Linked DNA regions of Callithrix jacchus. The protein of the gene in region 1 purifies or fractionates together with the protein of each later gene. This does not show direct contact. Links are inferred from orthologs where the notes say so. Each region holds a gene or a part of one and is shown in the gene's direction. Other genes may lie near its edges.

The links.
Region 2: the proteins of NUFIP1 (region 1) and ZNHIT6 purify together in Homo sapiens (affinity purification with western blotting; 3 studies listed by BioGRID and IntAct, with this or other methods). This does not show direct contact. The link is inferred for Callithrix jacchus from reciprocal best matches to the Homo sapiens genes NUFIP1 and ZNHIT6.

What each region holds. Positions count from the first base shown.
Region 1 is NC_133506.1:164,197,683-164,202,112, reverse strand, and holds the start of NUFIP1 (FMR1-interacting protein NUFIP1), read left to right. Parts: upstream 1-1,353; 5' UTR 1,354-1,389; coding exon 1,390-1,804; intron 1,805-4,430. Other genes in the region: GPALPP1 (GPALPP motifs-containing protein 1), read right to left, coding at 1,083-1,170. UniProt on the Homo sapiens protein: Binds RNA.
Region 2 is NC_133508.1:122,939,717-122,943,532, reverse strand, and holds part of ZNHIT6 (box C/D snoRNA protein 1), read left to right. Parts: intron 1-2,833; coding exon 2,834-2,937; intron 2,938-3,816. UniProt on the Homo sapiens protein: Required for box C/D snoRNAs accumulation involved in snoRNA processing, snoRNA transport to the nucleolus and ribosome biogenesis.

The sequences.
Region 1 (4,430 bases):
ATCTGCCTGCCTTGGCCTCCCAAAGTGCTGGGATTACAGGCTTGTGCCACCACACCCAGCTGGAAAGCATGATTTTTTAAAAGGTTATAACAGAAATTAGATTAGGAGGCCTGTAGTAGAAAAATGGCCTCTGGGTAGACAAGGAAGACAAATTAGGTTCAGAAATGGCAGGGTTACTCTTTCAGGTTTATGAACAAACATTAAAGCACATAGGTATGCATGGCGGAATGTGAGAAGCATCTGTTTGGTATACACGAAGTGCCTGTTGTGTTTTCTGGTACAAGACCATAGCGCATTGGTGGAGAGAGATGTGTCGACAAATTATTCAGATACAAATGTACTAAATACGCAATGTAATTAGGAAAAAACCCGAGGGCAAAAAGAAAGGCGTGACAATGCTTCGGGGAATTTGGAATGGTTTTATTGTGTGACATGTTAGTTGGCCCTTGAAGGATAGGTAGAAGTTTGTTAGTTATGTTTAGAAATGCAACCAGAGGAAGCCCATAAGCCTGGAGCGTTAAGAAACTGCGCAGAAACACAGGCTGGTGGTTTGAGTATTGGGCTGTGTGTGTCAGATGCAATAATAGAATGAGAGGCTAGGAAGGCAGGTCGGGGCTGGAGAGAACAGGATCTGCAAGCTTCTTGTACATCAGAAGGCAAATATGGCACAGAGGTTAGGAGAACCGCTTCCTTCTAAGTCGCGCTCCAGCACTTGCTAGCAGTATGCTGCAGACCCTGGCAATGGGCGTACCCATCTGCAACTTGGGAAAATAGTCTTTTCCTCCTACGGATTAAATGACTGAATGGGTATCAGTCAGTTAGGGCAGCTTGCAGCTCACATTAAGCGCTAAATGAGAATGTACTGTCATTACGAAGATTACCACGCCAAAACTCGGTTTCTAGGAGGGTACCCCAGCCTCTTCCCTACTGCTACCGTTTGGGAAGAAAAGTCCTCTCGGGTCGGGCCGTGCCCACTCCCCACTCCTCCGTCCTCCTAGGCTTCCGACCTTTCTTCAGCGTGCAGGGCCCGGCCAGGGAGGGGGTAGATAGGCCTGGTGGGCTGCGGAGACGCGGCCGCTTACCGGGGCTCGGATCCCGCTCTTCGTCCTCCGCTGTTCCGCGGGCCTTGAAGCCGGGCGGCAGGGCCGGTCCGATCAGGTCCCTTGCCATCCGCAGTGGCGGACACTGGTCACAGATACGAGTCTATCCAGGTACGTCAAACCTATCCCAAAGTAATCCCGCGATCCGCAGAGAAGAATGGAAGGTTTCCCGGCGCCGACTGATGACGTAAAGTCTGTGGTTGGCTGGGCCGCGTGGTTTACGGCAACGGAAGTGACGTCTAATGCTTGCTCCGCAGTCGCGTGCTAGACTCAGGACCCGGCAGAAGGTATGGCTGAGCCGGCTGGTGATTTCGTAAGTCCTGCCGGGTGGCGTGAGTCTCCCGAGCTGACTCCCACGTTAGGGCCTCAGAGCGACACTGCCCTGCGGCGGGACAGCTGGATGCTCTGGACAATGCTGCCGCCGCCACCGCCACCGCTTACGTCTTCGTCTCCCTCAGCCGGGTCAAAGGCTTCCTCTGAGTCGCAGCCCCCCGCGGAGGCCCAGTCTCTCCCCGGGGCGCCGCCCCCCTTCGACGCCCAGATTCTTCCCGGGGCGCAACCCCCCTTCGATGCCCAGTTCCCCCTTGATTCTCAGCCTCAACCCAATGGCCAGCCTTCCTGGAATTTCCACGCTTCCACATCATGGTATTGGAGACAGTCTTCTGATAGATTTTCTCGTCATCAGAAGTCCTTCAATCCTCCAGGTAGGCTATTCCTCCAGGTGGGTCGACCCCTTTACCTTTTTTCCGTTCTTTCCTCTGCACTTTCCGTTTCCTCTCTCCACTCTGCCTTGCCTCTGCACTCTTGGAGTCTGGTCATTAATGTCTCAAAATATGTCTGACTAGAATGTTTCCCTGTTGCCTGTTAATTCCATTTAGCAGTTACTTACTGAATTCAACTATGTATCAGAATCTGGGTATATAGCAGTGAGCAGAACATACAAAAAAAATTCTTGTCTTTGTGGAGCTTAATATTAATATCTCTCGTGTGGGAAGACAGACAATAAGCAAAATAAAATATTGTGCATTAGAAGGTTATGAGTGCAGTGGAGTGAGATAAAGAAGAATGATAGGTAGTATGGGTTTGTTTTTTTTGTTTGTTTGTTGTGGGGGGTAGAGTGTCCCTACGTCTCTCCGGCTGGAGTGAAGAGTAGCGCGAGCTACTTCACTCCAGCTTATGCAACCTCTGCAGAGAGGCTCACTGCAACCACTGCCTCCCGAGTTCAAGCAATTCTCATGCCTCAAACTCCCGAGCTGGGATTATGGGCCCACGCTACCAGGCCCGGCTTATTTTTTATATTTTTAGTAGAGATGGGGTTGCACGGTGTTGGCCAGGCCTTCCTGGATCTCCTGAGTTCCGGCAATCCGCCCTCCTCGCCTCCCAAAGTGTTGGGATTACAGGCGTGAGTCACCTCGCCTGGCCAGGTAGTGCAGTTTTTTTTTTTTTTTTTTCCTGAGACGGAGTTTTGCTCTTGTTACCCAGGCTGGAGTGCAATGGCGCGATCTCGGCTCACCGCAACCTCCGCCTCCTGGGTTCAAGCAATTCTCCTGCCTCAGCCTCCCCATAGGTGGGACTAGAGGCGCGCGCCACCATGCCCAGCTAAGTTTTGTATTTTTAGTAGAGACGGGGTTTCACCATGTTGACCAGGATGGTCTCGATCTCTTGACCTCGTGATCCACCCACCTCGGCCTCCCAAAGTGCTGGGATTATAGGCGTGAGCCATCGCGCCCGGCCTGGTAGTGCAGTTTTAAATGTCATTTTAGTCACAAGGAAGGTGACATATTAGCAAAGACTTCAAGGAGGCGAGGGTTCACAACCATACATACATCTGGGAGAATAGGGGTACAGGCTCAAGGAACTGCAAGTGCAAAGGCCTTAAGGCTTAGAAGCTATACATCAGAATGGGAAGCAGTCTGGCTACAGAGGACTGAGCCTGGAGTGTGGAAGATGGGGGAAGAGGATAAGACCTGGTAGGTCTTCGTAGATTGTGGGACGTTGACTTTTACTGTCGTGAGGTGGATAGTAGAGGGGAGTGACATGATCCGATTTATGCTCTAAGAGGTTTAATGTGTCTGTTGATGGGAATTGACTGAAAGGAAAACTGGTTAGGAGCTATTGTAGTTACTTGTCTGAATGAGAGATATTGGAGACTTGGACCGGGGCGAAGCTCAAGGGATGGTGAGAAGTAGTCAGATTCTGGATCCAGGGATACCTTGGAGCTCTTGGGGGTTCAGTCACAGACCACTGCAGTAAAGCAAGTCAGACACTTTGTTTTTCCCAGTGCATATAAAAATTTTCCTGCAGGTCATATGGGGCAAAAAAGTTATTTTTACATTTTATCATAGTCTGTTAAGCGTGCATATTATTATGTCCAAAAAAAACTTATGTACCTTGATTAAAAAATACTTTAGGCTGGGCAGGATGGCTCACGCCTATAATCTCAGCACTTTATTTATTTTTTGAGGCAGGGTCTCTGTTGCCTAGGCTGGAGTGCAGTGGCGCGATCTTGACTCACTGCAACCTCTGCCTCCCAGGTTCAAGTGATTCTCCTGCCTCAGCCATCCAAGTAGCTGGGATTACAGGTGCCTGCCACCACGCCTGGCAAATTTTTGTATTTTTAGTAGAGATGAGGTTTCACCATGTTGACCAGGCTGATCTTGAACTGCAGTCCTCAAGTAATTCACCCTCCCTGTGAAGGTGCTGGGATTACAAGTGTGAGCCACTGTATCCACCCTCATCTCAGCACTTTGGGAGGCTGAGGCAAGAGGATTGCTTCAGCCTAGGAATCTGAGACCTGTCTGGGCAAGAAAGTAAGACCCCCATCTCTACAAAAAATAAAATTAGCCAGACATGGTGGCATGCCTGTGGGCCCAGCTACATGGAAGGCTGAGGCAGGAGGATTCCTTGAGCCCAGAAGTCGAGACAGCTTTATCAACTAAGTTTATGTATACTATAAATCCTCTGTCCTCATTTCAACAGTGTTTACAGCATCTTCACCAGGAATAGATTCCTTCTCAAAAAAGCACTTCCTTTCCTCATCCATAAGAAGCCACTCCTCATCCATTAGAGTTTCATCATGAGGTTGCAGCAATTCAGTCACATCTTGTGGCTCTACTTTAACTCTAGTTTTCTTGCTGTTTCCACTACATCTGAAGTGACTTCCTCCACTGAAGTCTTGAACCCCTCAAATTCATCTGTGAGGGTTGGAATTTCTTCTTTCAAACTCTTGTTAATGTTGATCTTTTGACTTCCTTCCATAAATCGTGAATGTTCCTAAAGGTATCTTGAATAGTGAATCAAAACCTCCTTTCTAGGAGGCTTTTAATCTAC
Region 2 (3,816 bases), on another chromosome or scaffold:
GAGAGTATTAAACATGAAGTTAGAGAAACTGTTGAGGAGTTGGGTGCAGAGACTCATTCCTGTAATGCAAACGCTTTGGGAGGCTGAGGCCGGAGCCTTGCTTGAGCCCAGGAGTTCACGACCAGCCTGGAGAATATGGTGAAAAACCCGTCTCTATAAAAAAAATACAAAAATTAGCCAGGCATGATGGTGTGCCCCTGTAACAACTTGGGAAGCTGAGGTAGGAGGATCACCTGAGCCCAGGAAGGTCAAGGCTGCAGTGAGCTGTGATTGCACCACTGCACCCCGACCTGGGCAGCAGAGTGAAACTCTGTCTCAAAAGAAAAAGAAAGAAGAAAAAGAAACTGGTGAGGGTTTCTAATTCTAAGTGCAAATGGAAACTATGGAAGGATTTTGGACAAAAATTTGCCTTTTGAAAAACCACTCTTGCTGCTCTGTGGACTTTAGGGAGGCAAGAGTGGAAGATTGGAAGCAGGGAGACCATTTATGCAGCTCTTCGCGTGATCCTTGTGAGATAATAGTGGCTTGGGTATGCCCTTAGAATTATTGAGAGGGGATTAGATTCTGATTTTGAAGGAAAAGCTAAGACTTGCTATTCTAATACACTTAATTTTCATACTCTTGCATTGCCTTTTTCATTCCTTAAATACTATGCAGAAGTACAGCTTACATATTTGGAATGTTTGGCAACTGGCGTTACAAAAATTCGTTCATGGTATGATTAAATCATATCCTGCAATTGTGTTCATTTTAGTATTGGAGTTGCAGGATTTTAATACCTTTTAAATACCTTATTTTATTGGTATTGGCATTTTTTATTGGTATTATATTACATGTATCTGAAAGAAAATTATTTATACAGCAACTCTTATTTTTCCTCAAACTTAATTAGGCACAATTAAAATTCTACTTAGAGATAAATTACTTTAAAACTTTTTTTTAATTGTAAAATACAGCATGTATTTGTTTTAGAAAGTCACAGAATGGAAATACACAGTATAATGAAAAATTATAAAATGAACATTCATGTAACTACCACCCAAGTCTAGAATTAGAACATTACTGGCTTCCCAGAAGTTCCATGCCACCCTCTTATGCCCTTCCCTGATCTTTATGTGTGTGAAGATGTTTTTCTAGGGTTTATACCTGAGAATAGAATTGCTTTGTTTTATGGTATGCATATCTTCAGTTTGCCTAGATGTTACCAAAACATTTTCCAAAGTGATATACTAGTTTACACTCTCACCAGTAGTGTATAAATGTACCTGTTGTCATATTCTCACCAATACTTAATTTGGTAAGACTTTAAAAATTTTTGTCAATCTGTTGGCTATGTAATTTTATTATGGTTTTCAATGTGCAGTTCTCTAATTTCTGATGAGAGTTAGGAAGTTATTCCCTCATAATTATTGCCTAAAAGCTTTATACTATTGCATTTTATACTTATGTCTTTAACTGGAATTGATTTTTGGTATCATGTACAGAGAAGGTCCCATTTAATTTTTCATATAGATGATCCACTTTTCCCAGCACCATTTATTGGAAAGTTCATCCTTTCCCTACTGCTCTGTAGGACCACCTTTGTTATATATCAGCATCCCTATATGCTTGGGTTATTTTGTGGGCTTGTCTTTTCCATTCCATTGACCTACTGGTCTATCCTGCACCAATACTACTCTCTCAATTATTTTAGTTTTTTACTGAAACTTGTTATCTGATTAAGGCCTCCCACTTCCTTTTCTCTAGTGTTTGGCTATTCATTGATGTTTGCAAGGCAAAATAATTGCAAATCTAAGCAAAGGATGGCCCATAGCCATAGCTGCTAATGGACTTTTTTTTTTCCTCTATTTCAGTGTAACCATACAAGTTCCCTAGCTTGCTCTCAAAATAGTGATAGTTTCTGGTTCACCCTTTTCCTGAAGGTATATTGGGAGGATTGATCACTGCTATTATAATTATTTATAGTAATCAATACCATTACTGAAACCAAAGTCCTCTAAGTTAGAAAATTACATGCAATTTCTTCAGACAGTTTCCTGCTTAGCCAGTGATAGCTGACCCATTCTTTCCCTTGGCTCATGACTTGATTCTGACTCTACCATTTTACATTGCAAATTCTAGATCCATATTCATTTAACAGAAAACTTGCATTTATACTTTACCTTTTCTTTGAGTGATCTTTTTCCTTGACTTAATAAAAAATCTGGTATTAATTCCTTCGTAACTCTGGAATTCTCCAGTTTAGCTTTTAATCAACCCACGTGGTCAATGTAGTACACATGTCAAAGCAAGAATGTTCTCATATCCCATTTTGTGCTTCACACAACAGTGGCTACTTTAAGCTAGGCCTGGTACTAGGCAGTGCCATGGCTCTTCCCTTGAGTGAATTGTCTACTAATAAAATCAGGGATACATACAACTAACTGGTAAAACCATCAGTAAAAGCAATCAAGAATTGTGTAGGTAGCCCCTATGATTGCCAAATGACCTGTTTGTTTGTTTGTTTGTTTTAATCTCCATTAAATTATTCTTTGACTCATAGCACTTATGGTTAAAAACACAAGCTCTAGAATTAGACCTGGGTTGAATACAGGTTCTTTCTCTCTGGGATAGCTGTATAATGTTGGTATCTCACTAATTCTTATTGCTGAAATGGAGATGATAATACCTATTCTGATAGTATCATTGTGAAGATTACATGAGATTACTTCTTAGAGCTGTTGTAACACTTAGGTTTTCAGTAAATCTAAACTATTATTGAACAATTGTTTCACTCACTTTTTAAATTTGAAGCATTTAAAAGTTAATTTGTCTGTTTGGTTTTGGTTGGTAGATGTACTTTATGAAAAATCGTGCCCGAAGGCAAGGTATTAATTTAAAACTTCTACCCAACGGATTCACCAAGAGGAAGGAGAATTCAACATTTTTTGATAAGAAGTAAGTTTCTAACTTCTTAGTATATCAGGTGTTGTGATTTGATCAGGATCACCGTTTAAGGTTTGGTTGCTATAGAGCATTGCTACCCCAAGTGTGAGTCTGTAAACTGTTTGTTGTTGGTCCATGACAAGATAGCTGTAGTAATTGTGTGTCATGTAACTCTAATAAAAATTTGGGTCTGCAGAGTGTGTGTGTGTTTGTCTGTGTGTGTGTGTTTCTTCATATCATTTGAGAAACTTCTCAAACATTAATGTGCCTATCAGTCACCTAGGCATCTTGTTAAATATGCTCGTTGTGATTTTTCAGTAGGCCTGAGTTGAAGTTTCATATTGTGCATTTCTAACAAACTCCTCAGTGATGCTGATTGTTTGAGGAACATATTTTGAGTAGCAGCACCCTAGAACACTCTCATACATTAGAAATAAACTGTTTCTTTGACACCTAAGATGCCAAGAAAGTATTTCAGGGGCTTCCAGGACAAAACAGCAAGTAAAAGCAGGACTCCTGTATGTTTTAATCAAGGCAGCTCTGCTTTTATATTTTTTCTGCATTGGGTTTCTAAAGATTTCATTTAAAAGCTGTCAATGGAGAAGAAGGGGACTTTGAACTCTTTTCAGTATAGATAATGTAACAGATTAGTTTGCTGCTGTCTGAAAAATGTTGAGTTGAAAAGGCCCCAAAAATACTGAGGAGAATAGGATCCCAAAGTACTTTAAGTAGCCAACTAAATTATTAGATAATACCTTTCAGAAGTCAAGATTTTTTATTTAGAATTTTTAAAAACCTGAGGGAGTTCCTCCTTTTTCAGCCTCTTAGTAACTGTGGGGCCTTGAACAAATCATCTTACTTTCCCTGGGCCTCAGCTGTATGATGTGGGGA